Linked DNA regions of Callithrix jacchus. The protein of the gene in region 1 purifies or fractionates together with the protein of each later gene. This does not show direct contact. Links are inferred from orthologs where the notes say so. Each region holds a gene or a part of one and is shown in the gene's direction. Other genes may lie near its edges. The genes, in order: DNAJB1, PYCR3 and BAG5.

Region 1 (9,960 bases):
GCTTCAGCCTCAAGTAGCTGGGATTACAGATGTGTGCCACCATACCTAATTGTTACCTTTTTAGTAGAGACAGGCTTTCACCATGTTGGCCAGGCTGGTCTCAAACTCCTGACCTGAAGTGACCCACCTGCCTCAGCCTCCCAAAGTGCTGGTATTATAGGCATAAACCACTGCACCTGGCCTTGAAGATCTTTTTAAAATTTATTTTGTCCTACCTGCAGATACCAAAGAAAAAAAATTAAAATTTATTTTGATTTTTATTTATTTCTGAGACAGGGTCTCACTGTTGCTCAAGGTAGAGTCATAGCTCACTGCAGCTTGGAACTCCTGAACTCAAGTGATCCTCCCACTTCAGCCTCCCAAGTAGCTGGCATGTGCCACCATGCCCAGCTACTTTCTTTTTCATTCTTTGTAGAGATGGAGTCATTATGTGGGCCAGTTTGATCTGGAACTCCTGGGCGCAAGCAGTATTCCTGCCTCAGCCTCCAAAGTGCTGGGATTACAAGTGTGAGCCACCACACCTGTCCTGAAGGACTCTTTGAACAGATGAAAAGCTGAAGACAGGAGTAATGCAATTTTTTTTAAAGCTTTATGATCATCTAAGTCACATTATACACAAGCTGAGTGTCTACTGAAAGCACTCAGTATGCTAAACACTTCAGCATTTTACTCACTGGGTGACCCTATGGAAGTCACATGACCTCTCAGAATCTCAGTCTCCCCACCTGTAAAATGGGTGTAGCAATAGCCTAGCCTTGGCCTGGCATGGTGGCTCACACCTGTAATCCCAGCACTTTGGGAGGCTGAGTCAGGTGATCACCTGAGGTCAGGAGTTCAAGACCAGCCTGGCCCATCTCTACTAAAACTACAAAAAATTAGCTGGATATGGTGGTGCTTGCCTGTAATCCCAGCTACTCAGGAGGCTGAGGCTGGAGAATCGCTTGAACCCAGGAGGCGGAGGTTGCAATGAGCTGAGATTGTGCCATTGCACTCCAACCTGGGCAACAAGAGTGAAACTCCATCTTAAAAAAAAAAAAAGATAGCCCAGCCTCATAGAGCTGTTGTGACAATTATATGAGTTAATATTCATTGAGCACTTGGAACCGGTTTGGTCATGTCAGTGTTAGATGTTGTTACATGCCTGTAATCCCAAAACTTGGGGAGGCCAAAGCTGGCAGATCACTTGAGCTCAGGTGTTTGGGACCGGCCTGGACAACAATGGCAAAACCCCATCTCTACCAAAAAATATAATACAAAAAATTAGCCGAGCATAGTGGTGGGCACCTGTGATCTCAACTACTCAGGAGGCTGGGGCGTGAGGATCATTTGAACCCAGGAGGTGGAGGTTGCAGTGAGCCAAGATTGTGCCACTGTATTCCAGCCTGGGTGACAGTGTGAGACCCTATCTCAAGAAAAAAAAAGGTGGAGGACTGGTTCAGTGGCTTACTCCTATAATTCCAGCACTTTGGGAGGCGGAGGCAGGTGGCTCACCTGAGATCAGGAGTTTGAGACCAGCCTGGCCAACATGGTGAAATCCCATCTCTACTAAAAATACAAAAATTAGCCGGGCGCCAGGCACGGTGGCTCAAGCCTGTAATCCCAGCACTTTGGGAAGTCGAGGCAGGTGGATCACCAGGTCAAGAGTTTGAGACCAGCCCAGCCAACATGGTGAAACCCCGTCTCTACTAAAAATACAAAAATTAGCCAGGTGTGGTGGCACGTGCCTGTAATCCCAGCTACCTGGGAGGCTGAGGCAGGAGAAGCGCTCGAACCCGGGAGGCAGAGGTTGCAGTGAGCCAAGATCATGGCACTGCACTCCAACCTGGGTAGCAGAGCAACACTCCTTCTCGGGGGAAAATAGGAAAATATATATACATGTTGTTCTCTCTCCCCATGATTGGTTCAGGACCCCTGCTCAAGTACAGTTATCAATGTCTAGGGAATTTCAGCACCCATCCTTCCTGGTTGTCCAGTTCTAGTCCAGAGTTCTTTCTGATGTGGTTACCTCGCAGGTCTTTGTGTGGGCAGAGAGAACCAGCTCCGCCTGATGGGCAGCAGGGCAGGCTGTGGCCATGGTCTTTTTCCTCAGGAATCCCTGTCTGCCCAGGCACAGCTGTCACTGGAAGCTTTCAGCTGTGATGCTTCAGGAAGAGGGTGATGGCTGAAGAGCACACCACTAAGCAAAATGGTTTGTCACCCCTTTGGCAATGCTTCCTTTGTGCCATGTCTGTCCTGAGCACTTTGCAAATGTTAACTCATGTAAACTTCAAAGCCCTTTTGATGTGGGTGTGACTGCTATCCTCTTTGTACAGATGAGGAGGCTGAGGCCAGCAATGGCTAAGTAACTAACCCCAGGTCACTCAGCCAGGAAATGCTGGAGCCGGGAATGAAGCCCGGCTGTCTGGTTCCAGAGCCAGTGTTACATGGCCCTGACCCTCCCGGACAGTTCTTCCAGGAATCTCCCCCACATCCTTGGGCCCTTCCCCAGTAGAACCCCTTTCTGAGCCTCCTCTTCCCATCAGCCCTGTTCTTGACCAAGGCACCCCAGACTTTCAGAACCAAATGGGATCACGTTGCCCACAACTGAGGAAACAGAGGACTTGAAAGGTGTATGACACACCTATGTCCCCCAAATCATAAAGGTAGTGGGAAGAGAAAGAGATTCACTTAAGAACGGGGAATATTTATGAGGCTCTGTATTCCAGGCCTTGGTGATCCAGTGCAGACAGAACGTGGCCTCTGCCCAGGTGGCAATCTCAGACTGGGAGGGAGGATGCATGCCAAGGAACAAGATGATTTCAAATTTAGCAGCAAGTCCTCTTGAGAAGGCAGTAAAGTGAAGGGGGTGGAACTGGGAGGACCTTGGGAGGTGAGCTTTCGTCCAGATCCTCACCTTGCTTTAGGAGGTGAGACCAGAAGCCATCTCCGTCGCAACGGCCTTCTCCCCACATCTGGGAGAATAGTGCTGGTGGGTTCTTTGTTCATTTTATTTTCTCATTATGTTGGTTTTTTGTTTTGAGAGGGAGTCTTGCTCTGTCACCAGGCTGGAGTGCAGTGGCCCGATCTTGGCTCACTGCAACCTTAGCCGCCCCGGTTCAAGCAATTCTCCTGCCTCACCCTCCCAAGTAGCTGAGACGACAGGTGCATGCCACCAGGCCTGGCTAATTTTTTTGTGTTTTTAGTAGAGACGGGGTTTCACCATTTGGCCAGGATGGTCTCAATCTCTTGACCTTGTGATCTGCCTGCCTCAACTTCCCAAAGTGCTGGGATTACAGAAAGTGCCGGCCTTTTTTTTTTTTTGAGATGGAGTTTTGCTCTGTTGCCCAGGCTAGAGTGCAATGGCTGATCTCAGCTCACTGCAACCTCTGCCTCCCGTGTTTAAACTATTCTCAGGCCTCAGCCTCCCAAGTACCTGGGATTACAGGTGTGTACCACCGCACCTGACAAATTTGTTATTTTTAGGAGAGACAGGGTATCACCATGTTGGCCAGGCTGGTTTCGAACTCCTAACCTCAGGCGATCCACCCAAAGTGCTGGGATTCCAGGCGTGAGCCACAGCGCGCTGCCTTTTGGTCATTTTAAACAGCTTCCTTATGTTGCCTAGGCTGGTCTCCAACTCCTAGCCTCAAGCGATCCTCCCGTCTTGGCCTCAGAAAGTGATGGGACTACAGACGTGAGGCCCGGCGCCCAGCCTGGTGCGTTCTTTTATTTCCATATTACAAATAAAACGGGGCTCCTGGGTTAGGCAGACACAGGCAGTTCGTGCAGCGTCACCCGGAGGGAGCCCACAGCGGGCCCAACGAGACAAGTGTGGGCAAGTTCATCATCTCCTGGGGAAAGGTCGGGGTAGCCCCAGGCCCCACCCCTTCCCTAAACGGCACCTTCGTCGTGCCTCCCGACCCACTGACTCAGGCGGAGGGCGGGGCGCAGAGTCGCTGGGGCCGCGTAGAGAGTGAAAGAAGGCCACCACTGGCTCGTCCCGGAAGTTGGGCGGGGCCTCCTCCGACCTGGGTGCGCGCCGCGGGGAGGCGTTGCCGACGGCGGAGCAGGAGGGGGTGTGGCTCCGCGCGGGCGGCCGTTGACGCCGAGGCCCCGCTCCGGATGTCGCGCGTCGCGGACTGGGCGGCGGCGATTGGCCGGCCCGGCTGGGGGGGGCGGGGCGGAAGGTTCTGGAGGGGGCTGGCGGGCTCTGGAAGCTTCCGCCGGACGGGTATATAGAGTCCGGGACCGGGCGGCGGTGGAGCCGGGGTACGGCGGTTGTGGGGCGGCGGGCCGCAGGCGGGGGCCATGGGCAAAGACTACTACCAGACGCTGGGCCTGTCCCGCGGCGCGTCGGACGAGGAGATCAAGCGGGCCTACCGTCGCCAGGCGCTGCGCTACCACCCGGACAAGAACAAGGAGCCCGGCGCCGAGGAGAAGTTCAAGGAGATCGCCGAGGCCTACGACGTGCTAAGCGACCCGCGCAAGCGCGAGATCTTTGACCGCTACGGGGAGGAAGGTGCGTGGGCGCGGCCCCGCCGTTTGACAGGCGGGGAAACCGAGGCACGCCGGCCGCTCTGGGTGCCTCCCCCCTCCGGGGAGGACGCCCCGGGCCCGGGGGCTAAGCTGCTCCGCCCTCGGGCCAAGCGGGCCTCCGCCCTCGGATTGGTGGCCGCGGGGTGGGAGGAGGAGCCTTGGCCCAGCCGCTCGCCCAGAATCTTCTAGCAAGTCTGGGGCTGCCCCTCCCTGGGCGCGTCCTCCCGAGGCCCGGAGCAGCCCCGGGGTGCGGTGCAGGGGCAGTGGGGCCGTGTGGGAGCCGGAGGGCGGACGACGGGGACGGCGCGGCGGAGCGCACTGCGGGCCGGGGCTTACCTAGGTTCGGCCGCCGGGGTCTGCAGGGCGGCGTCTCAGGTTCAGCTGCGGGCGCCGGGCTGCGAATGCGGGCGCCGACCCTCGCGGGCTTGCGGGCGGGGATGGGATAATACCTGGAAAGCGATGACCTGGCCCCGGCCGGGCACGCAGGAGGCAGCGGCGCCCACTGCGGCCGCCCAGGTGCAGAGAGCGGGGCTTTTTGTCCATGTGCTGGTTGATGACTCAGGCTGGATTCTGGGCTTAATTGGAGGAATGAACTGACTTTCTATGCAAGCATGGTGGCAGTGAATGCTAGTGTGTGAGGGTTCAAAAACTCCCCATCTATTTTTTTTCCTTATTTTTACTCTTCTCATCAGTGGTCCTAAAATGTTGAGAGTAAACACTTACCGAAAGCCCACCCTGGACCGTGTCTTAAGCCATCCTTGGTGACATAGCCAGGGGGATGAGTCAGTCCAGGGATGGTAGGGCATGGGTGGCACCTGGAGGTGGATACCTAACTGCATGAGTCCTTTGCCACTGTCACACTACACGGAAGTACTGGGGTGGGGGGCGTCTCTGCTGCTGCAGTGAGAGGTAGAAACCTGGGGTTCTTCCTCGCTCTCCCCTGACAGGCTAAAAAAAGTTCCTCCCCCATGGCTTCCAAGCTTCCTCCCCCCAGCCCCCAAAAGGGAAGCTCCTTGAGAGAGGCTGCTGTTCAGCCATCTGACTGCTTCCAATTCTGCTTTTTAGGGCTAAAGGGCAGCGGCCCCAGTGGCGGTAGCGGTGGTGGTGCCAATGGTACCTCTTTCAGCTACACATTCCATGGAGATCCTCATGCCATGTTTGCTGAATTCTTCGGTGGCAGAAATCCCTTTGACACCTTTTTTGGGCAGCGGAACGGGGAGGAAGGCATGGACATTGACGACCCATTCTCTGGCTTCCATATGGGCATGGGTGGCTTCACCAACATGAACTTTGGCCGCTCCCGCCCTGCCCAAGAGCCCGCCCGAAAGAAGCAAGATCCTCCAGTCACCCACGACCTTCGGGTCTCCCTTGAAGAGATCTACAGCGGCTGCACCAAGAAGATGAAAATCTCCCACAAGCGGCTAAACCCCGATGGAAAGAGCATTCGAAATGAAGACAAAATCTTGACCATCGAAGTGAAGAAGGGGTGGAAAGAAGGGACCAAAATCACATTCCCCAAGGAAGGAGACCAGACCTCCAACAACATTCCAGCTGATATTGTCTTTGTTTTAAAGGACAAGCCACACAATATCTTTAAGAGAGATGGCTCTGATGTCATTTATCCTGCCAGGATCAGCCTCCGGGAGGTAAGGTGCCAGGTGGGGCAGTGGCTGTAGATGGCTGCTCTTTGAAGCAGATAACTATTTGCTGAGCAAATGTGTTGGGGCATGTGGTACATGCCAGGTTAGGGGCACAAAGTGAACAGGACTGCTGGAGCTTTCATGGTGGTGACGTGTAGATCTGGGAACCAGGTCTTGGCTGCACAGGCCTGATGGGTCTTACTCTTTGCCAGATGGCCTCTGGGCAAGAGCTGAGCCTCTTGAGCCAGCTTCCATCTAATGCTGTCCCTTTGCTTTCCAAGGCTTTGTGTGGCTGCACAGTGAACGTCCCTACTCTGGACGGCAGGACCATACCCGTGGTGTTCAAAGATGTCATCAGGCCTGGCATGCGTCGAAAAGTTCCTGGAGAAGGCCTCCCCCTCCCCAAAACGCCCGAGAAACGTGGGGACCTCATTATTGAGTTTGAAGTGATCTTCCCCGAAAGGATTCCCCAGACATCAAGATCTGCACTTGAGAAGGTTCTTCCGATATAGCTACCTGAGCTCTCCAGACTGACTAGGGACCTTTCCAGAGCTCAAGGATTTCTGGACCTTTCTACCTATTGTGGACCATGAGAGGGCGGAGGGCCCAGGGAGGGTTTTCATACTGCTGAATGTTTTCCAGAGCATATATTACAATCTTTCAGAGTCATACACTAGACTTAAGTGGTTTTTTGAGCAATAGGACATCAGGTGGTGGGAACAGCAGGAAAAGGCATTCCAGTCTGCCCCACTGGGTCCGGCAGCCCTCCCAGGAGGGGCCCACATCCTCCTCCTCCAGTCCCTGTCCAGGGGTGAGAGGCAGACAGACCAGCAGCTGGACTTGATGCTTGTGTCCCTTTGCTTCTGGCTGGTAGATGGTGTCAAGCTGCCGCCAGACCCTGTACACTCCTCCGTCTCTGTTGTGTGATCAGTTTGTGATTTATTCTGTATTTGTCTCCCATGTCTTAATCTTCCCCTGAAGAATCCTGTCTTCTCTTTGGCCATCTCAAATTGAGAACCTCTAAACTATTCCTGCAGAACTGCCTGGCTGGCGCCCACAAGCAATACCTCTTGTTCCAGCAGGACCAAGGGAGCCAGTCTCCAGCAAGTGACTCCAGTAAGTGCAGCACCTCTCGCTGGAGGGTGTGGAAGCCCGGCCCCAGCAAGGGACCCTCCGGACCTCTGGCTCTAGGGAAGCTGAATGTGCTCACTGTGGGTCACACTTTCCATTTCTGTCAGGCAATCTTGTCACACCTGGGCCGTACCAGTGGCCTAGGTAATTTTTTGTTTCATGGACTCTGGACTCTTTCAAAGGGATCTGATCCTTTTGAGTTTTGCACAGCCCTAGATATAATCCCTTTTGATAAAAGGGTCTTTGCTTCTGATTACAGGAGCACTGTGGAACGTCTGTAAATATGTTTTTATAATTAATTCCGTGTATAGTTGGTGTACACTCAAATAAAACCAGTCCCCAGCAGCCGCTGCTCTCTGTACAGGGCCATAATGGAATTCTGAAGAAATCTTGGGGAAGGAGGGGGAGTTGGAACAAATGTCTGTTCCCTCGACACCAGTTGGGTGCTCAGACCTTTAGACTCATTGTAAGTTGCCACTGCCAACATGAGACCAAAGTGTGTGACTTGTTGATGCAGTGCGACAGCATTAAAGACTGATGCTAAACCTCAGGAGAGAAGTCCTGTGACTCTGTTTGAGGGTTCTGCTGGTTTGGGGGGGTGGAGTGAGGACCTGGGCATCCCTCCAGGTGCAGTCAAGATGGGAGGGTGGGATGGGCTGGAGGCAAGTACCCTGCAAGAGAAAGATAAGTCTCCCTTCCTGGGCCTGAAGTGGGTTGGAGAACTTCCACCCAGACTCTGGGTACAAACAACCAGAGACCCAAGCACACTGGCCTTGGGGATCATTTTTTGATGAAGGTTGGGGGAGGCAGGGTGTAGTTCCTAATACTCCTCCTTTTCTTCAGGGCCCCTGGCTTTTCCAACAGACCGCTGCCCTGGGGCCAAGGGGGCAACCCAGGGTCTGGCCTCTTAATTCCGTATCACTCCTTTCCTGCTAGAACTGCTTGCACGTCCTGAACTTGGCCAAACCGGAACTCCAGGGCCTGCCCAGGACTCGCCCCACCCTAGAGAAGCCCCATTTCCTGCCTTGGCTTTATTTGTAGGCCACTGAAGCTGCTTTTACTTTGTAACTTTTTTTAAAGAGCTGGTTTTATTATAAGGTAAGTAATTACTCAGGCTTAAAACAATGTATCACTGCTTTGCTGCAACATGTTCCCAAGTGGAAACATTGTATAAAGACCAGGAGCAAGGCTCAGGGCTGTCACCACAGGGCTTTGGAAGACCAAGGTGGGCAGATCACTTGAGCTCAGGAGTTTGAGACCAGCCTGGGCAGCACTGAGAAACCTCATGTCTACAAAAAATAAAAATTCAGCCGGGGGTGGCAGCGTACACCTATAGACCCAGCTATTTATGTGACTGAGGCAGGAGGATCACTTGAGCCCAAGAAGTAGATGACCCAGTGAGCTGTGTTTGTGCCATTGCCCTCTAGCCTGGGTGACAAAGTGAAACCCTGTCTCAAGAAAAAAAAAAAAAAACTATAAAAGTCAAACTGGACCAGGCATAGTGGCTCATGGGTGTAATCCCAGCACTCTGGGAGCCAAGGTAGGAAGATCACCTGAGGTCAGGAGCTTGAGACCAGCCTGGTCAACATGATGAAAACCCCATCTCTACTAAAAATAACAAATTAGCCAGGCATGGTGGTACACGCCTGTAATCCCAGCTACTCAGGAGGCTGATGCGTGAGAATCCCTTCAACCTGGGAGGTGGAGGTTGCAGTGAGCAAACGTGCTGCCACTGCACTCCAGCCTGGGGGACAGAGCGTTGTCTCAAAAAAAAAAAGTCAGGCTAAGAGTTGCTTTCCCTTCCCACTGAAACAGTTTAAGCACTGAAAACGGTCTAGGGGCAGCTCTGTCAGGCCAGGAGGACTTTGTGTAATGACTGGAAAGTTATATATACCGTTAATTAAAACATCTTACAAATTCAATAAACTTAGACTCTGTTCCTCAGTGGCTCCTGCCATGCTTCAGTTGCTTAGCAGCCCACAGATGTATATAGCCAGTGGCAATTGCTAGACAGGTCACGTCTCCAGGCTTTTCCCCAAAGGTAATACAGTGTCACTTTGAAGAGCAGCCACATTAAGCCAGGAGATGCCACCCCCATCAGGAGGTGACCCCTGGAATAACAGAGCTAAGAGATGTTTACCAAAGTATCCCAGGCACCAAGGTGACTGCAGAACTGACCTGACTGACCTCATTGGTGTCACAAATCCCCAGGGTTGCCATCCCCACCCCCAAGTCTCCACTATACACCAGCTCCCTGTGAACGTCATACAAAAGTGTCACAGACACGAAAGTGCACAATGCCTTAGGGTATGTACAGTTCTGGGAACTTACAAAAACACTACCAAGGAACCTACCCAGGGTGAGGAGTGGGGCACATAGTGAGGGGAAGATCTTAGTGGGAAGAGGACCCACACGTTTTTGCTTCTGGGTTTTTGTTTTCTTTTGTTTTCTTAAAGCCCACTGCTTGGCTTGTCTATCTTGGCCAGACATCTGGTGCACCCACATGCAAACTTTTCCCAAATTCTTGGGCTTTGTTTTTTTTTTAGTTGTTTTTTTTTTTTTTTTTTTTGAGACAGAGTCTCGCTCCGTCACCCAAGCTGCAGTGCAGTGGTGGGATCTCTGCTCACTGCAACCTCCATCTCCCAGGTTCAATCGATTTTAGGAGTAGTTGAGA
Region 2 (9,639 bases), on another chromosome or scaffold:
CCCCTGAGAGGTGGCGACTCCCTGGGGTGGAAAGGCTGCAGAGGCTGGAGCTGAGAAGGCACGCATGTGGGAGGGCAGCAGGCAGGCAGCAATGATACTGGCAAGGACTGTCAGCAGGACAATGATGTGCAGGGCAGGGCCAGCCCCAGCCTCTCCACATGAGGCTACCTGCAGGCCTGAGTAACCTGGGCTCACCCAGGCCTCCCTCCTCAGCCTGAGAGCTCTGGGGGAACTGATCTAGTGGGCCAGCTGAGTGGGGCCCATGCATGGATCTGAGGGGAAGCTGATGACTGGGCGGCTCCGGCCTCCCATGGCCTGGCTTCTCATCTCTGTGGCTCTCAGGCTTGGGTGTGGGTCCTCACCTGCCCTTGTCCCATAGAGAGGGACAGGTACCTGCTGGACAGGTCAGCTCCAGCCACCAGAGGTGGGCATCATTGCTCGCGGTCATTCTCAGAGACATCAAAGTCCAGAATGGTTCCCGGGCAAGTGCCTCAGTCAGGCAGGGTGGCGCTGGGGTCTAGGCCCCGGCTTGCCTGCCACCCTCTTTCTCAGTGCCTCACACAGCGGGAGCCCCTAGGCCAGAGCCCTCTGGTCCACTACACCCAGGACCCAGACACCTTCCCTGGTTCCTGGGCCACCCCTTCTCAGGATCTCTCTCTCCTGGGTGCCCTGTGCCGTCTTCATGCACACAATGCCTTCTGACTACAGGCTGAGTCTTCATGCACACAATGCCTTCTGACTACAGGCTGAGTCTTCATGCACACAATGCCTTCTGACTACAGGCTGAGTCTTCAAGCACACAATGCCTTCTGACTACAGGCTGAGTCTGTTGCTTCATTTCTTCCTTTGTTCATTCAGGCAGCAGTGGTGTGTCTTCCCTGTCCCAGCACCAAGTCCAGACCTGTGTCTGGTGCCCAGTCGACCACTCACCTCATATGTCACTGTCCCTTTGTGTCTGGCAAGCCAAGGTGTCCTCCAGGCCTCCCTGAGCCTGGCCCCCTCTTGGGCCAAGGCCTCCCAACCTTTAGGCCTCAGCTGGGATGGTCCAGCCTTCAAAACATCTTTCCTGATGGCACTTTCTCAGCCCCTCTCTGAGCATCCATCTGCCCTACTGGGATTGTGTTGTCTGAAAACTTCTGGGAGCCCTGCCTCGACCTCCACCCCTCATGCCAATACCCCAGGACCTGGAGCTCCAGGAGGTGGGTTGGCCTCCTTCACAATATGTCCCCTGGCAACAGTCCTTTGTGGACGAAGGCTCTGCCCACACAGGGGTTCAGGAAAGGCCTCCTGGAGAGGGTGGCACCTGTGTGCCCGCCTGGATCTGCCAGGTGAGGAGCAGTGGGAAGAAGCCCCACCAAAAGCAGAGAGGTGCCCTGGACACAAGCCATGGCTGGCTAGATGTCCAGGTCAGCGGAGGGCTCCCAGCCGATGCTCAGAAGCCCGGCCCGGCATGGGATGGAGAAGCTGAATGCCCCTAGGCCCTGGGCACTGAGCCAGCAACCCTCTTCACCTGGCCTCAGTCCACGTGTTTATGATGAGCTTTGTCCTTATATATGATGGCATGGTGCTGGATGTCTCTGGCCCCTCTCACCTCCACAGACTTGGTCCCAAGCCATCACTGGCCTGGGAGAAAATCCAGGGGGTCTGTTTTGGAAGGGGCTGGCAGGATCCTGGGTGGCAGGAGAGACAGCTGCTGGCACTGAGAGCTAGTGCAAAGCGGATGCTTTGCACCACCAGATTTCCTGGCTGTGGTGGCCGAAGCAGCCTCCTGGTGGCTTTCTGTCCCGCTCCACGTCATTTGTTTCAGAGCCTTGACACCCTGGCCATCCCCTGCATGTGCCGACTGCTCTGTCTCCATTGCCAACAAACAGGGCGGTAGGCTGTGATCTGGCTTGTCCCATCTGCTGCTGTGTGGTGGTCTTGCCCAGGCCTAGGGCAGGGCCCAGAGGCTGCAACTGCACAGTAAATGTTGAATCAGTGAGAGGATTTAACTACTGAAGAGTTCAGGAAATGCCAAAGTCTTCAGACTAAAACAACAAAACGTCTGTAACATGAAGCCTTAGATTGGACGACGAAAACAAAACCAGACTCAGATCTTCAAACCTAATTTTTCTTGTATCATTAAAATGACGGCCGGGAGCGGTGGCTCACGCCTGTAATCCCAGCACTTTGGAAGGCTGAGGCGGGCGGATCACAAGGTCAGGAGTTCAAGACCGGCCTGCCCAACAAGGTGAAAGCCCATCTCTACTAAAATACAAAAAATAGCCGGGCGTGGTGGCCCGCGCCTGTAATCCCAAGTTACTCCAGAGGCTGAGGCAGGGAAATCGCTTGAATCTGGGAGATAAGTGCAGTGAGCTGAGATCGCACCACTGCACTCCAGCCTGGGGATAGAGCGAGACTCCGTCTCAAAAAACAAAAACAATGACGAGCATCTCCGCTCCCCCACTGTCCCCCTCCCCTCCCCGTCGGCCCCTCCCCTGGCCCCGGCCAGCATTCTGTGACCTGGGCCTCCGCCCCTAGTGCCGCCTCGCGGCCCCCCGTCTGTGGTCGGTGGAGCCTCAGGGACCGCAGGCTCCCGACCAGCCCCGTAATCCGCTTCGCAACCCCTCCCCTCCGAAAAACGAAGATCTGTTCGTCGCACGTGCGCCTGGGACCGGTCCAGGCAACCCCGGCAGCTCGAGCGCTACTGCCCCGCCCGCCCCGCCAACCCTCGGTTCCTCTCAGCCAATGGGCAGTGAGGGGAGGGGGGATAGCCTTTTCGGGCCAATAAGCAGCGAGAGGCAGAGCCTCCGCGCCTTGCGGACCAGTAGAGAGCGGACAAAAAGCCGGGCGGGCCCGGAGCGTGAGGTCCCGGCAGCCAATCGGCGGGGGGGGCGGGGAGGCGTGTCCCATTGGTAGGGCCGAGGTCTGTGGGTGGGGCGCGGCCTGTGGATGGGCGGCCAGCGCGGCGGCGGCCAGTGCGACAAGATGGCGGCTACAGGGCAGGCTCCGCGGCGCGTGGGCTTCGTGGGCGCCGGTCGCATGGCGGGGGCCATCGCGCAGGGCCTCATTAGAGCAGGTGGGGCGGCGCGGAGCTCGGCTCGCGGCCTGGCGTGGGACAGCCCCGTGGGAGGCTTCCTTCCGAGAGATTGGGGCGGAGGGCGCGCGCCCAGGCACCCGGGCCTCCGCTGCGCTGGGCTCAGCCGGGGACACGCCTGTTTGCTCGTAATTTTTTCACGTGGCTGTGGGAAGATTTGAGTTACACGTGGCTTGGTGCCACTTCCGTGGCCGGCTTCCTGGCCGCGTGGCCTTAGCCAGGTTCATGTCTCCCAGCCTTTGGTTTTCTCTGTGCACCAGCCCCTCTCTGGGGAACAGCAGGGCTTCTCCGCAGACACCTTGGCTCTAGTGACACCATTCGTCCTTTGCCAGTAGCACCCGTACGTTGTGACAGCCAAAAGTGCCTCCAGACACGGCCGAATGCACCCTGGGTGGGAGGAGGAGACAGACAAAATCATCTCTGGCGGAACCACGGCTCTATAGCCGGGATGTTTGCGCTGATCATATACTTCTCCAGGCATTTAGAAGCCCTTCTGCAGACTGGGGGAGAGCTGGGTGACTCTTGGCTCTCTGCCTTCAGCCATATTTCAGGGTTCAGAGGAGTCATGATGAATCGGAAAATAGCTTCCTATGAGGTCTTAGTTTTACCTGTGAAACCCGGCAGTATTACATGCCTCCCAGAGCTGTACAGGGTAATTAGATGTATATGTGTAGTGTTGAGCCTAATACTGCTGTGTATGGCTGCCACTGTCATGGTTAGTAGCTGCGTTCAGGTTGTGGTATACACTTCTGTCTTCCTGTTCGACTTTACCAAAATCTAACCCTATCTCCCCACCCCTGTACTCCACAAAAGCATGTTTCTACCAAGTAGGCATTTAGCCTCTTCGTGGACATCCCAACAGACTCTCCCTCCCGAGGAACCTGGGCCCCCATTGGGCCTTCTGTGGCCATAAATCAGCTGCTTTTGTACCCTCCACACTCCTCCAAAGCCTGGTGTTAGAAGTACTGCCTCTTCTCCTCAGGCAGCCTTCCCTTCCCTGGAGGCAGAGGCCCCAGGGATCTGTGTCCTCACCAACGAGGCAAGCTCCTGGCCTCCATACCCAGCAGCAGTCAGGGACGTTGACTGCCAAGTAGAGTCAGTGGATCTGAGTGCCTGGGCCCAGTGAATGGCGCATCCCTGGTTTGGGTTCCTGAGGCCAGAAGGGGGCCCATGATGGGCCAGGTGTGGCTGAGCCTGAGAGGCCAGGCGAGTTCCTCCCTCTCCTCACTGCCATCCTACCCTACCCCTTCAACCCCTCTTCCTTTTCCTTTCCAGGAAAAGTGGAAGCTCAGCACATACTGGCCAGTGCACCGACAGACAGGAACCTATGTCACTTCCAAGTGAGCACAGAGCGCAGGATAACTCTTAGCTCCCGTCCAACTAAGACACTTACCAGAGCCAGGGATGGGTGGCTTATTTAGCTGAAGTTTGGAGACTGGCTGGTCTGGACTGGGGAAAGGGAGGTTGTGGAGAGCCATAGCAAAGTGTGTGTGTGCGTGTACCACGTGTGTGCACATGTGAGTACGTGTGTGCACATGAGTGCATTGTGAGTGCTCGTGAATGCATGTATGTGTGTACGTGTGAGTTCGTATGTGCATGTGAGTGTGATTGTGTGTGCATGTGTGTATGTGAGTGCGTGCTCATGAGTGCGTGCGTGTGCACGTGTGTGTGTGCATGCTGGGATGGTGGCCACGGATATTCATGGGATGGAGGGCTCAGGGCTTGGGGAGGTGCTGACATCAGAACTGCCTGTGAGGAGGAGGTCTAGTCTGGGTGAATCTCGGGCACTGGTGACATGGGGGTGGTCTAGACACTTGCAATGGGAGAGGCCCTGGGACCCTGGGAATGTGTGGCCACCAGCAGGAAGGGCTGTGGTGAGGAGGGTGTGCTGCTCACACAGCCCCTGAGGCCTGGTCCTGGTGTCCCTGGCTCAGGCTCTGGGCTGCCGGACTACCCACTCCAACCAGGAAGTGCTGCAGAGCTGCCTGCTCGTCATCTTTGCAACCAAGCCCCACATCCTGCCAGCTGTTCTGGCAGAGGTGGCTCCTGTGGTCACCGCTGAACACATCTTAGTGTCCGTGGCTGCTGGGGTCTCTCTGAGCACCCTGGAGGAGGTGAGTATCCCTTGGGCTAAGGCCTTGGTCCCAGCTTAGGCTCTGCTGGCCAGCTTGGGTGGCAGGCAGCCTTCCAGAGAGCCTGAGAGGTGGCCAGGTGGCCTAGCTGGGTGCGATGGCTGAGGTTAAGCTTCCCTCCTGGTGCTGTACCTGGGAGGCAGCCGCGGGAGCCTGCAGCTAGCTGATGGGGACCTTTCCTGATGCCCCTGCTGATGCCTGCCCAGCAGGGCCCAGTCCCACAGGCTCCCTGATTCTAACCTCTTTCTGGCCAGCTGCTGCCCCCACACACACGGGTGCTGCGGGTCTTGCCCAACCTGCCCTGCATGGTCCAGGAAGGGGCCATCGTGATGACACGGGGCCGCCACGTAGGCAGCAGCGAGACCGAGCTCCTGCAGCATCTGCTGGAGGCCTGTGGGCGGTGTGAGGAGGTACCCGAAGCCTACATCGACATCCACACTGGCCTCAGTGGCAGTGGCGTGGCCTTTGTGAGTATTGCCTTGTCCGTCCCCTGCCCTACCCTTAGTAAAGAGAGGCCTGCCCAAGTCCCTCTAATGGCCTCTGCCCTCAGAGTCCAACCTTGGGGCCTGCGTGGTTGGTCCCAGGCCCACTGGGGGCTCTGCTGTCCCCAGAACTTCACTGCCTTGGGGATCTTTGGGGCCAGCCCCTTTGCAGACTCCTGGGCTCAGGCCTTGGTTCTGGCCATCCATGGACAGTGAGTGCTCTGGGCCTTGTTCCTGAAAGTTCTGAGCCCCCCAGCTTTGAGACCTATTCCCCCGCCACCATGCCGCTACTACAGGTGTGCACATTCTCCGAAGCCCTGGCTGAGGGTGCCGTCAAGATGGGTATGCCCAGTGGCCTGGCCCACCGCATCGCTGCTCAGACCCTGCTGGTGAGTGAGGGTGGCTCCCGGGGACCATTGAGAAGGCCCAGGCTGTACCACTTTCAGTGGGCAGGGAAATAGTAGGCTCGAGAAGCTGGGGCTGAGGTTGAGGGATGCAGTGAGGGCAGGCTGCACAGTGGGTGCCGTGCCACCTCCCCTGGTCACCAGGCCCTCATGCTTTCCTTAGGGGACAGCCAAGATGCTGCTGCACGAGGGCCAGCACCCAGCCCAGCTGCGCTCTGATGTGTGTACCCCGGGCGGCACCACCATCTACGGGCTCCACGCCCTGGAGCAGGGCGGGCTGCGAGCGGCCACCATGAGCGCTGTGGAGGCTGCCACCTGCCGGGCCAAGGAGCTCAGCAGGAAGTAGGCTGGGCTCTGGCCATCCTTGCCTGCCTTTGTGCCCCCATCTCTCCCTGTGCCCCTTCCTCTGAGGACTGCGACTCTCTCCCTCCTGCGGGAGGGTCTCCAACCGCTCCTTCTCCCCCTGCACAGGGAAATGCACGGGGCAGGACTTGAGAGGTTCCAGTAGGTTGGGGAGACCCCACCAGTGGGGACACTTCTCCCTCTCCCATGGGCAGAAGGCACTGTGGTAGTAGCCCTGCTCCTTGCTGCAGTGAGCCTGCCTTGCTATAACATTGGTTCTGAGGGGCCCAAGAGATGGCGTCTTGGTCAGGTGCCCGCATGGTTAGGCTGTAGGTCAAGGCCATGATCAGAACTTATGATAACGGGCATGGCTGGCCCAATGCCTGGTCTGGAGCCGGGCCTGCCTTTGGCTTTCCAGGTGGCTCCGTGCAGCTACAGCTAGGCCAGCTGTCTCATCTCAGCTCTAGGGGGCACAAGCCATACGGGGTGTGCATAAAAGACCCTCTCCCCCGCAGTAAAGTCAGGGGCCCTGGCCTGCTGTGCGTGGGGACTCCATGGGCAGCTGGGTGGCTGTGTGCTCTCCCCTGCTAAGGAGAAGGAGCTGCTGGGCTAAGTCTGCAGCAGTGCTGGGCAGCGCCAGGCAGGCAGTGTTAGATGGGGCAGCTTAAGGTCTGGGAGGGTAGCCCTGGCCAGTCAGGACAAACACAGACCCCGGCTTCAGCTGGGATACAGGCTCACTCTTTCCTCCTGACCCTAAGCTCCTGGCAAGTGGCCAGGTGGCTCTGGGGCCTCCCAACCCTCATGTGGGTCAGGGGTCCTGGGATGCCCTGTGGCTCTGGCACCACCACACAGGCCTCTGACAGCAGGACTTAGCCCCTCCACATGTCCCTAACGGACAGCAGGTCAGGAAAGCCAGGACTTGGGGGCAAAGCAAAGCCTCAGGATCGAAGGCTGGGGTTCTGGGGCCTTTGGGTCAGGCGGGCCTGGGCCAGACGGCCTCAGCTTCGTCCCCTGCCCCACAAGATTCACCCTGGCCTCTACTTCCACACTGGCCCATGAGTGCAGCAGCTGTCCGCTTCCACCCAGCAAGCTCTGGAGGCGAGGCTGGGAGCACGCCCTCAGTGAGGCTGGGCAGCAGGTTCCACCATGCCATCTCCCTGTGTGCCTGGGCAGATCCATCTCCTAGTGCAAAATAGGGCTAAGGGTACCTGCACGACAGCAGCATGCTCCATCTCTCACGCTCAGCTGCCTCTGGCCACGGACTTATGCCCTCCGCCTGCTCTCTCTCACTCCCCTCAGCCTAGCCAACCCCCAAGCTCCCACCCCCACCGGTTTTCCAGGGCAGGCTGACTCAGTTGACTGGTCTAAGCCTGGCCCTGGCACTTGTGAGGGTCAGCCTAAGGAGATGGGAATAAAGATGCCAGAGGGCACCAAGTGAGCTCATGTTTCACCAGAGGTGGATGAAACCAGGTTCCTGGCCATACGTGGTGGCTCATGCACATAATGCCAACACTTTGGAAGGCCAATGGGGGCAGATCACAAGGTCCGGAGTTCAAGACCAGCCTGGCCAGCACAGTGAAACCCTGTCTCTACTAGAAATACAAAAATGGCTGGTGTGGTGGCTCATGCCTGTAATCCTAGCACTTTGGGAGGATAAGGTGGGTGGATCACCTGAGGTCATGAGTTTCAGACCAGCCTGGCCAACATGGTAAAACCCCAGCTTTAAAAAAAAAAAGAACAAAAAAAAAAATACAAAAATTAGGCTTGTGGGCAGGTCTGGGAGGCTGGGGTCTGGCACAGGCTGCCCCCTGAAGGAACATGGACAGCTCTTCTGAGGACCACATGCATGTACACTGAGCCCATCTGCAAGGAGAATCATTGGCTTTGAGCCAAGGCCTGTCTCCCCCTGGGGACCTCTGACAAGCCCTGGGCACTAGGCAAGCTCAGCTCTGGAGGTGGAGGACCCAAGCTAGACTCGTGGCCCAGCTGGTGAGGGCCTGTGACACACACACCCTTAGCTTCTTGGGGCACGGCAGGGAGTGGGTTACCCAGGCCTCCCCTGTACCTTCTATTGCCAGGCAAAAATGTTCTTCAAGATAGAAAATAGTGGATGTGATCACGGTATCTTTTTAAAGACTTGAGTCTTGTTCTGTCACCCGGGCTGCAGTGCAGTGGTGTGATACCTCGGCTCACTGCAACCCCTGCCTCCTGGGTTTAAGTGATTCCCCTGCCTCAGCCTCCCGAGTAGCCGAGATTCTGGGCGCTTGCCGCCTCATGGAAGTTTTTTGTGTTTTAGTAGAGACAGGGTTTCACCACATTGGCCAGGATGGTCTCAACCTTCTGACTTTGGATTACAGAGTCCTCTTTAATCAGTGTTCCCCTTTTATGTCCTGTGCCCCAACTATTCATCTAGAGGTATTCCTGATCCAAGCATTGGATCAAGAGCTACAAAAATAAGACTTCACAACAGGGATGCTCACAGAGTGGGCATGTCCGGCCTTTATTGGATAAAGCCACTGGGCCTATCCGAGTGGGCAAGCTCAGCTGTAAATAAGCTTGCCGGTTAGAAGAGCCCTCCACAGATCGTGGGCCCCAGAAGCCCAGGGACCCCCATGTGCTGTTGGGATCGCTCTCCATGGGCATCTTGACTAGGTAGGCAAGGGGCTGATATCCCTGCGGGACCAACCCCAGTCTAGGGGTGCTCTCCTTTTCCACTACATTCTGATGTTTCATCCACAGCTCAGTGGATGTCCAGGGAGTCCCCCAAGGTCAAGGCAGTGGTCTCATCCCCCGACATTGTGGGTCAGGTGGTTTCAACAGGACCCGCACTCATCTTTGCCTCAGCGCCTTCCATTCTCCAGCCCCATCCGGCCCAGGAGCTCTGACAGTGACAATGACACAAGATCACGAACTGAAGGAGCAGTGAACGGGAGCTAGGGGGTCTGGGGGCCATCTGAGCTGAGGACAGCTGGCTCATAGCCCCCACCCACCCCTGTGCCAGCAGGGAATGTGCAGAATCTGCCAGAGCAAGAGGCCAGGCTCCGGATGCGGTTGAAAGAAGCAGATGCAGCCTCACCCCAGCCTGAGCCTGTCACCATAGCCCGGGCCTCGAAGGCAAGGGCACCAGCACAACCTTGGCAAAGAGCCTCCCAAAGGGTTCCCCCACCCCCAGGGTCCAATACAGCCACCAATCCTGGGGTCTT
Region 3 (9,869 bases), on another chromosome or scaffold:
AAAAGCAGATATTTCTGAAAAGCTGAGTTTTAAAGTAAATTTGGAAAGAAGAATGGTGCCTGACTCTAAAGTTCTATAATATTTTTCAATTAAAAGCTGGTGCTGGCAGGGCTCAGTGGCTCACACTTATAATCCCAACATTTTGGGAGGCTGAGGCAGGTGGATCATCTGAAGTCAGGAGTTCGAGACCAGCTTGGCCAACATGGTGAAATCCCATCTCTACTTAAAAAAAAAAAAAATTAGGGCTGGGCGCGGTGGCTCAAGCCTGTAATCCCAGCACTTTGGGAGGCCAAGGCAGGTGGATCGCGAGGTCAAGAGATCGAAACCATCCTGGTCAACATGGTGAAACCCCGTCTCTACTAAAAATACAAAAATTAGCTGGGCATGGTGGTGCGTGCCTGTAATCCCAGCTACTCAGGAGGCTGAGGGAGGAGAATTGCCTGAACCCAGGAGGCGGAGGTTGCAGTGAGCCGAGATCGCGCCATTGCACTCCAGCCTGGGTAACAAGAGTGAAACTCCGTCTCAAAAAAAAAAAAAAAAAAATTAGCTGGGCATGGGGGTGTGCACCTGTAACCCCGGCTACTAGGGAGGCTGAGGCAGGGAAATTGCTTGAACGCAGGAGGTGGAGGTTGCAGTGAGCCAAGATTGTGCCATTGCACTCCAGCCTGGGCAACAGAGCAAAAACTCTGTCTCAAACAAACAAACGCATTTAGGCCAGAGAGGTCTCTCATCTTGAAAACAGACCCATGGTAAGATTTATTTTACTTTAACAGGAAGAAATGCTGGGAGCAGTGGCACATGCTTTTAACCTAGCACTTTGGGAAGCCAAGGCGGGTGGATAACTTGAGGTCAGGAGTTGTCTCTACTAAAATTACAAAAAATTAGCTGGGCATGGTGGTGGGCACCTATAATCCAAACTGCTTGGAAGGCTGAGGCACAAGAATCGCTTCAGCCCAGGAGGCAGAGGTTGCACTGAGCCGAGATTGCACCACTGTACTCCAGCCTGGGCTACAGAGGGAGACGCCATCTCAAAAAAAAAAAAAAAGAGTCTATATGACAATGAAGAAATCCTTATTTCTTTCCAGCACAAGTTCACAAAATAAGCGAGGGAAAATCCTCCCACTGGGGAAAAGTCTTGGTTGATTTCCAGTTTGCTCTCTTAAGAACATTTTCAGATACCTGTTGTGTCTTTCTGCCCAAAGACAGAGATGCTGAATGGGTTTCTATGCTCTAGAAATAGAAGGCAAGGGCTTGGCCAGTGTAACACAGAAAGGAGCTAGCCACTTGGGTGTCTGTTTGACAAGTTGCTCTGGTAACTCCTTGTTTAAACTGTAAACTAGACAGACCTTCAAAGCTACAATTAGAAAAGTGTGCTAATAGCCACAGCCCAACAGAAATGAAAATGTATAGGCAGGCACATTTGCAATTTTTAATTAGCTTTTTTTTTTTTGAAGATGAAGTCTCGCTGTTATCAGGGTGGAGTGCAGTGGCTCAATCTCAGCTCACTGCTGCAACCTCCACCTCCTGAGTTCAAGCGATTCTCCTGCCTCAGTCTCCCAAGTAGCTGGGATTAGAGGCCTATGCCACCACACCCGGCTAATTTTTTTGGATTTTAGTAGAGAGGGGGTTTCACCACCTCGATCTCCTAACCTCGTGATCTGCCCGCCTCGGCCTCCCAAAGTGCTGGGATTACAGGCGTAAGCCATGGAGCCCGGCCACTTTTTTGATGCAGAGTCTCACTCTGTCACTCAGGTTGAAGTGCAGTGGCGCCACCTCGGCTCACTACAACCTCTGCCTCCTGGGTTCAAGTGATTCTCCTGCTTCAGCCTTCCAAGTAGCTGGGACTACAGGTGTCTGCCACCACACTCAGCTAATTTTTCTATTTTTAGTAGAGACAGGGTTTTACCATGTTGGCCAGGCTAGTCTCGAACTCCTGACCTTGTGATCCACCCACCTCGGCCTCCCAAAGTGCTGGGATTACAGGCCTAAGCCAGCGTGCCCGCCTACTTCTTTAATTATTGTTTTTTTTTTTTTGTTTTGAGACGGAGTTTCACTCTTGTTACCCAGGCTGGAGTTCTCAGCTCACCACAACCTCCGCCTCCTGGGTTCAGGCAATTCTCCTGCCTCAGCCTCCTGAGTAGCTGGGATTACAGGCACGCGCCACCATGCCCAGCTAATTTTTTGTGTTTTTAGTCGAGATGGGTTTTCACCATGTTGACCAGGATGGTCTCGATCTCTTGACCTCGTGATCCACCCGCAAACCAAGCTTTCCAGCGTCCCTCGTTAGCCTGCTTAGTATTTCCAGGCTTAGCTTGAATATTTTATCTCCAGCAGCTTCCACAGTTAGTCAACATTTTCATCTGACAGATGGAATCAAGGCCTAGGCCTCCCTTAAACAAAACACCCCTCCCAAGAAGCTAAAAGGCCTTCTTATAAAGGCCTCCCATCCTTTATACGAAGTAGAACTTAAAAAATTGCTTGTCGCTGGGCGGGCGCGGTGGCTCAAGCCTGTATTCCAGTACTTTGGGAAGCCAAGGTGGGCAGATCACGAGGTCAAGAGATCGAGACCATCCTGGCCAAGATGGTAAAACCCCGTCTCTACTAAAAATACAAAAATTAGCTGAGTGAGATGGTGGGTGCCTGTATTCCCAGCTACACGGAAGCCTGAAGCAGGAGAATCGCTTGAACCCTGGAGGTGGAGGTTGCAGTGAGCCGAGATGGTACCACTGCATTGCAGCCTGGGCGACAGAGCAAGACTCCATCTCAAAAAAAAAAAAAAAAAAAGAAAATTGCTTGTCACTCTTTCTTGCTACAGACATTCTTTGCGAATCTTTGGCCGGTAACATGCATATACCCACACACAGTGTGCAAATAAGAACAACTATCCGGCCGGGCACGGTGGCTCACGCCTGTAATCCCAGCACTTTGGGAGGCCGAGGCGGGCAGACCACCAGAGGTCAGGAGTTCGAGACCAGCCTGGCCAACATGGTGAAACCCCGTCTCTACTAGAAATACAAAAGTTAGCCAGACGTGGTTGTGGGTGCCTGTGGGTGCCGGTAACGCCAGCTACGCGGGAGGCTGAAGCAGGAGAATCGCTTGAACCCGGGAGGCGGAGACTACAGTGAGCCAAGATCGCGACACTGCACTCTAGCCTGGGCAACAAAAGCAAAACCCTGTCTCAAATTAAAAAATTAATTCTCAGGAATAAATAAGGTAGGCACAAACTTGGCAGGTGACTCTGTTATGCTTAAAGCTTCTGGCTGTCAACAGTCCCCGACGGGGCGGCGGCACCCTTGGTCCCATCGGACTGAGGGCGTGGACGCGAGAGCCTTGGGGCCGCCCCTCCGGGCCCAACGTCCCCAGGCGCCAGCTTACCCCGCTGGGAGCCGCATCCCTGCGCTCGGCGCCGTGCTCGGGAGCGAGCTGACAACCGCGGCGGGCGAAGGCGCGGCAGAGAGGAAGGAGAAGGCGCTTCTTTCCCGCCCGCAAGGCCACCATGGCCCCACGGCGCCTGGCTCCCGCGGCGCACGGCAGCATTGCGACGACGCGAGGGACCGTTTTACGGCAGGGTCGCGAAGCCCGAGGGAGCGCGGCGACGCGGCCGATCGTGCACTTTCCCTGCGGTGCGACGGCTGCGGGGTCGACAGGCGAAGCAGGCTAACCCGACCGGCCGCTCCTTGGTCGCGGCCACTCCAGGCTGCCTCGCTGCGCGCTGGCGGTGGGCGTGGTGCTGTCGGCGGCTAGGAGCGGACGCCGGAGGTGTCCCCGGGTTTGGGGTTGTTCGGCCCGGGGCGGGGCTGGCGGGCCCGAGCGACGGCCGGGGCTGCGGAAGTCGCGGAGGCGTCGGCGGCGCGTCGCGCGATGGCGCGGGCGGGACAGGTAAGCAAAGTGCGGCGTGTGGCCTTTTCCCTCCGTCGCGGGGACGAGTGTAGCCTCACATCGGCGCGGGGCTCCCCACCCGGCCACCCCTGTCCCGGCGCCCACCCCCGCGTGGCCTGTTGGCACAGGCAGGACCGGGCGGGACCCGGTGTCGTCCCCGCCCCTGGGTCTGACGCGGGTCGGGGCAGGCCAGGTCTGGTCTCTGGTGTCTCCGGCGGGGCCTCGGCTGCCCTCCTTGCCAGGCTCTACCCGGCCGGGCCGAGCGCCCCTCGCGCGCCCATTGTGAGGTCAGGGCCGGCGGGCGCGCCCTGGCACCCGGGCCGAGACGCCCGGGGCAGCTGCTGCAGCAGTAAAGTGGCGGCGCCTTCACCGCTGCCCGGCTCGGACCTAGTCGGGAGGGGCGCGAGGGATGCAGCTGGGGGCCCAGCTCCGGTGCAGCACCCCGAGAAGGGCTGGTCTTCCACCTCCCACCTCAACCACGGGACGCCAAGACTGCAGCCAGCTCAGGTCTCTTCTGGGTAAAGGGCCAAGAGGGAAGGGCGAGGCGGGGAGGAAGGAGCGCCGGCGGCCTGCCCTCCGTGGCCGTCAGGACACCCACAGGGGGTGGAGGCTTTTCCGTCGGTTGCCCACCTCGAGCACGCCGTTTGGTAGAAACCAATAGCTTGAAACAGGTACTGAGCCACTGTGGACTCTCAGTGGGAAGCGAGTGAATGAATTATTCATAATTACCACGTGTTCGCGGGTCGTGTTTTTTTTGAGAGAATGGAGCATGGTAGGGGCTGAGGAGGTTCTGGGCTTCCAAGGCCCAAGATGGCGCCTTCAGCGCAGTCCCCGTCGCTCTTCTTGACCTGTGGGGTTTTTAGCTCTTCAGGGAGACACCTGTGAGGGCAGATATGTGAGGAGCTAAAAGGGTGGGGCAGGGAGGAGCACAGAGGCGAGGAGAGAAACCACGAAGCGGGAACCTTGGGGATGGCTGAGAGCCCCTGGTTTTGGTTCTAGTGGTTCAGTGTCTTTGGCTTAGAGTTTCTGGAAACTAAGGCATAGCTGTTTGGCGGGGGCGGGGTGCTGTTAATGTTTGGCAGGTTACAAGAGCTACTGCTTCACGTTGCACAAAGGTGCCTTGCTGGTTCCAAAAACAGAGTTTGTGCCGGGTGCAGTGACTCACACCTGTAATCCCAGCACTCTGGGAGGCGGAGGCGGGCGGATTGTCTCAGACAGCCTGGGCAATATAGTGAGACGTGCCTTTCCTAAAAGTGGTAACGTTAGCTGGGCGTGGTGATGTGCGACTGTAACCCCAGCCGCTGGGGAGGCTGAAGTGGGATGACAGTATACCTGTTTAAATGAGAATTTTAGTGTCTTAATATATCATTCATGTTCTGCAGAAGCTTTGTGCTGTAATAAGTTATTCTTGTCATCTTTTAGTGCTTGTGAAACTGACCACCACAAAAGTATGGATATGGGAAACCAACATCCTTCTATTAGCAGGCTTCAGGAAATCCAAAAGGAAGTAAAAAGTGTAGAACAGCAAGTCGTCGGCTTCAGTGGTCTGTCCGATGACAAGAATTACAAGAAACTGGAGCGGATTCTCACAAAACAACTTTTTGAAATAGACTCTGTAGATACTGAAGGAAAAGGAGATATTCAGCAAGCCAGGAAGAGGGCGGCACAGGAGACGGAACGTCTTCTCAAAGAGCTGGAGCAGAATGCAAACCACCCACACAGGATTGAAATACAGAGCATTTTTGAGGAAGCCCAGTCCCTTGTGAGAGAGAAAATTGTGCCATTTTATAATGGCGGCAACTGCATAACTGATGAGTTCGAAGAAGGCATCCAGGACATCATTCTGAGGCTGACACATGTTAAAACTGGAGGAAAGATCTCCTTGCGGAAAGCAAGGTATCACACTTTAACCAAAATCTGTGCAGTGCAAGAGATTATCGAAGACTGCATGAAAAAGCAGCCTTCCCTGCCGCTGTCTGAGGATGCACACCCTTCTGTTGCCAAAATCAACTCTGTGATGTGTGAGGTGAACAAGGCCCGAGGGGTCCTGATTGCGCTTCTGATGGGTGTGAACAGCAGCGAGACCTGCAGGCACTTATCCTGTGTGCTGTCCGGGCTGATGGCCGACCTGGATGCTCTGGATGTGTGCGGCCGGACAGAAATCAGAAATTACCGGAGGGAGGTAGTGGAAGATATTAACAAATTATTGAAATACCTGGATTTAGAAGAGGAAGCAGACACTACTAGAGCATTTGACCTGAGGCAGAATCATTCCATTTTAAAAATAGAAAAGGTCCTCAAGAGAATGAGAGAAATAAAAAATGAACTCCTCCAAGCGCAGAACCCCCCTGAGTTGTATCTGAGCTCCAAAACAGAATTGCAGGGTTTGATTGGACAGTTGGATGAGGTAAGTCTTGAAAAGAACCCCTGCATCCGAGAGGCCAGGAGAAGAGCAGTGATAGAAGTGCAAACTCTGATCACGTACATTGACTTGAAGGAGGCCCTTGAGAAAAGAAAGCTGATTGCTTGTGAGGAGCACCCATCCCATAAAGCCGTCTGGAACGTCCTTGGAAACTTGTCCGAGATCCAGGGAGAAGTGCTTTCGTTTGATGGGAATCGAACCGATAAGAACTACATCCGGCTGGAAGAGCTGCTCACCAAGCAGCTGCTGGCCCTGGATGCTGTCGACCCGCAGGGAGAGGAGAAGTGTAAGGCTGCCCGGAAACAGGCTGTGAAGCTTGCCCAGAATATTCTCAGCCATCTCGACCTGAAATCCGATGAATGGGAGTACTAAAATACCAGACTTCTCACCTCTGATACTGTTTTGCACTTCATATATACTTCTATGTATAGAGAGCTTCTAGTGCATTGCGCCCAAATGTGATTTATACCTGCATATTTCAGTCTCAGTATTTATGATTCAAGCAACTTCTGTTCGGCATCTGCTGCTTTTGATGTTGCAAGACAAATATCATTACGACACGTTCACTTTTCCATTGAGACCGCTGTCTGTATGCCGTGGTGTGGTTTGTTTGGTTTGTCCGTGTGTGTGTGTGTTTAATCAGAAAATGAAATAGAGGCGGCTTTTGTGAATTTTAAATGGGTTGTGCGAGCATTAAATGCAGGTATTTCACAGTCTAGAAATAGGCATAACCTTACATAATACTAGGAGAATTGTGAGAAGGGGGAAATTTTGGGTTAAATAGGAGTGAGGTTCAAACACAAGCAGTACATGTTCTGTTTCACTGTGCTCGACAGAAATTTTTTTTCGGTTTTAAGGCCTGATTGGTCCTACTCAGCTTAATGGGGTGGGGTTTTTTTTGGTTCGTTCAGACAGTCCATGCTTTTGAAAACATTTTTACTTGGAAAAACAGCATCTGTATTTTCCCCATACTCTACATTTTAGAGAGGGGAATAATCTTGTTTTTGTGTGCAACATGAAAATTATGAAAACTAATAGCCAAAAAACCTCTGAGATTGCATTAAATAGAAGGGATAAAGGACCAGCTATAAATACCCTGTAAATTTTTTTTTAATATCAGAGCTTATTGTTTTTCTTAGTAATTCATAAGGACGGGAACATTTAAGTGAAGTTAATGGAGCTTTTAAAAAAAAGAAAAAGGAAGCACCCGTACCTGTAGTTGGAGGATGGAAACGAGATTGGTCACCAATGTCAGGTTATATTAAAACCAAGCCGAAAAGGCCTGAATGTAGCATGTCATGGCTCTCTTGTGTTGTCGTCCAAGGCTGTAAGATGGACAGCCCTGTCACGCCTCCCCAGTGCTGTCAGTAACCCAGAAGGACCACGCCTTCCTGTTTTCCTAGGCAGTCAGCTTTTAACCACTCCCGTAGTAAACATCGTAAAGATCACCTGCTCCAGGACCAGTTAGAGAAACCTGCTGGGAATTAAAGGCTTGCTCTGGGTGCCTGCCAAACAGCTGAGCTCATGTTAGGGGCATGTGGTGGTTTCTCTGTTGCCTGAAAGAGCCATGAAAGTCAGTCGTGCATGAAGCGTCTCTTTTCTGCTAAAGGATGTGCATTTCCATAAATCCTTTCTGAGGATCCAACGCAAAATAATTCCCCAAAGTTCTGAAGTGCCTTGAACCTGTTGGTCCCAGTGTTACCACAGATTCTTTCACCAGGGTCACCTTTCGCCTAGTCATCTTATTACAGCACCTCTTTGGAACTCCACGGTATTATCACTCACTTTCAGAGATGCTCATTTTGTAACTTTGTGTAGGGAAATTACCACTTTAAACAGCTGAAAGTATGATAGCTAAGGGAGTAGCCTTGGTCGGTGGAGGTGGCTCGTACCTGTAATCCCAGCACTTTGGGAGGCTGAGGCGGGTGGATCACAAGGTCAGGAGTTCAAGACCAGCCTCGCCAATATGGTGAAACCCATCTCTACTAAAAATACAAAAATTAGCTAGGGGTGGTGGTGCATACCTGTAGCCCCCAGCTGCTGGGGACGCTGAGGCAGGAGAATCGCTTGAACCCGGCAGGTGGAGGTGAACCAATATCAAGCTATTGCACTCCAGCCTGGGTGACAGAGTGACTCCATCTCAAAAGGAGTAGTCTTTAAGCGTAGCCCTTAACAAATCTTCACTCTGTCTCTCAGTACTGCCCATTCATTAAAATCCCTTGATAGGTCTTTCCTACTAGAAATATCCTAGAACCACTGGATGGTGGGGCGAGAGGGCAGTGAGCCTCCCACAGTCCTGTAGGCCCAACACCTGGCAACCCTGGGCTCAAGGCAGGTCACTGGAATCCACATTTTGGCCAGAGTAGTTTTAACATTGCTTTTCTGTATCATAATTTTAGAATTCTCTTAAAATCTTAAGGAAGAGTTTTAAAATTAGAGCTTTGTTTAATTATACCACCAGGAAATCGTGGTTACACGTGAGACACGTCCTTCACCAGCGTACCACTTACATTTTAAATTCCATTTTGTGAAGTTAAATGTCAGCATTCCCTTTAAAAGTGCCCGTCGTTCTTTGAAGGTAGATGTCACCATCATTCTTTTCAAACAAAAGCGTTTGTGTCCCTTTTGCCAAGCTCTGGGCATGGTGTGTGAGTACAGGGCGTCAGCTCTTCCACGGTCATTTTGAATTGTTCACGGGTTATTTTGGTCATGGAAATGATCAGATTGACCTGGAGTGACTGTGAGGCATGGCTTTGCTTCTGCTTTCAATCTGTGCTAGTCCCTTGTACCGGCTTATTCTCCCGCAGTGAACCCTGGTGACACTGACGCAGCGCTTCACCGCCCTCATGGGGAGCTGTTTGTGCTAATACGGGCTACTGCATGTAATTCTTCAGCTGGGCTCGTCACATTGTATTCCATTTTTGTGATCTTACATGAAAAGAATCTGTACTGCAAGTAAAACCTACTCCCCAAAAATGTGCGGCCTTGGGTCTGCATTAAACACTATAATCCGTGATCATGCAAAACGTGGCTGGGAACGCTTGCCTTCTTTACGTTCTGTCAGCCTTGCTTTATCCACACAGAGGAGAGCCAGTCAGCCTGCAGCGAAACAGTTACTAAAATCACCGTAGTATGTCTACAAAGTATAGTTTAGTGCTTCATGTTGCTAAAATGTATATATTTGATATACTTCAGTTTGAGAAGGTTAGTTTTTATTATTTGTTTTTGTCAATTTCTTTTTCTTTTTTTTTTTTGAGACGGAGTTTTGCTCGTTACCCAGGCTGGAGTGCAATGGCGCGATCTCGGCTCACCGCAACCTGCGTCTCCCGGGTTCAGGCAATTCTCCTGCCTCAGCCTCCTGAGTAGCTGGGATTATAGGCACCCGCCACCATGCCCAGCTAATTTTTTTTTTTTTTTTTGTATTTTTAGTAGAGACGGGGTTTCACCACATTGACCAGGATGGTCTCGATCTGTTGACCTCGTGATCCACCCGCCTCGGCCTCCCAAAGTGCTGGGATTACAGGCTTGAGCCACCGTGCCCAGCTGTTTTTGTCAATTTCTATCTGAT

What was found.
Region 2: the proteins of DNAJB1 (region 1) and PYCR3 purify together in Homo sapiens (affinity purification with mass spectrometry; 3 studies listed by BioGRID and IntAct, with this or other methods). This does not show direct contact. The link is inferred for Callithrix jacchus from reciprocal best matches to the Homo sapiens genes DNAJB1 and PYCR3.
Region 3: the proteins of DNAJB1 (region 1) and BAG5 purify together in Homo sapiens (affinity purification with mass spectrometry; 3 studies listed by BioGRID and IntAct, with this or other methods). This does not show direct contact. The link is inferred for Callithrix jacchus from reciprocal best matches to the Homo sapiens genes DNAJB1 and BAG5.

What each region holds. Positions count from the first base shown.
Region 1 is NC_133523.1:13,292,227-13,302,186, reverse strand, and holds DNAJB1 (dnaJ homolog subfamily B member 1), read left to right. Parts: upstream 1-4,239; 5' UTR 4,240-4,287; coding exon 4,288-4,498; intron 4,499-4,777; exon of another isoform or gene 4,778-5,087; intron 5,088-5,580; coding exon 5,581-6,161; intron 6,162-6,436; coding exon 6,437-6,667; 3' UTR 6,668-7,836; downstream 7,837-9,960. UniProt on the Homo sapiens protein: Interacts with HSP70 and can stimulate its ATPase activity. Stimulates the association between HSC70 and HIP. Negatively regulates heat shock-induced HSF1 transcriptional activity during the attenuation and recovery phase period of the heat shock response.
Region 2 is NC_133517.1:53,986,426-53,996,064, forward strand, and holds PYCR3 (pyrroline-5-carboxylate reductase 3), read left to right. Parts: upstream 1-2,956; 5' UTR 2,957-2,967; coding exon 2,968-3,058; intron 3,059-4,351; coding exon 4,352-4,416; intron 4,417-5,010; coding exon 5,011-5,190; intron 5,191-5,462; coding exon 5,463-5,675; intron 5,676-5,986; coding exon 5,987-6,079; intron 6,080-6,257; coding exon 6,258-6,440; 3' UTR 6,441-8,060; downstream 8,061-9,639.
Region 3 is NC_133509.1:138,387,177-138,397,045, reverse strand, and holds the start of BAG5 (BAG family molecular chaperone regulator 5), read left to right. Parts: upstream 1-3,834; 5' UTR 3,835-4,288; coding exon 4,289-4,386; exon of another isoform or gene 4,387-4,581; intron 4,582-5,301; coding exon 5,302-6,673; 3' UTR 6,674-9,869. Other genes in the region: COA8 (cytochrome c oxidase assembly factor 8), read right to left, coding at 3,376-3,498. UniProt on the Homo sapiens protein: Co-chaperone for HSP/HSP70 proteins. It functions as a nucleotide-exchange factor promoting the release of ADP from HSP70, thereby activating HSP70-mediated protein refolding.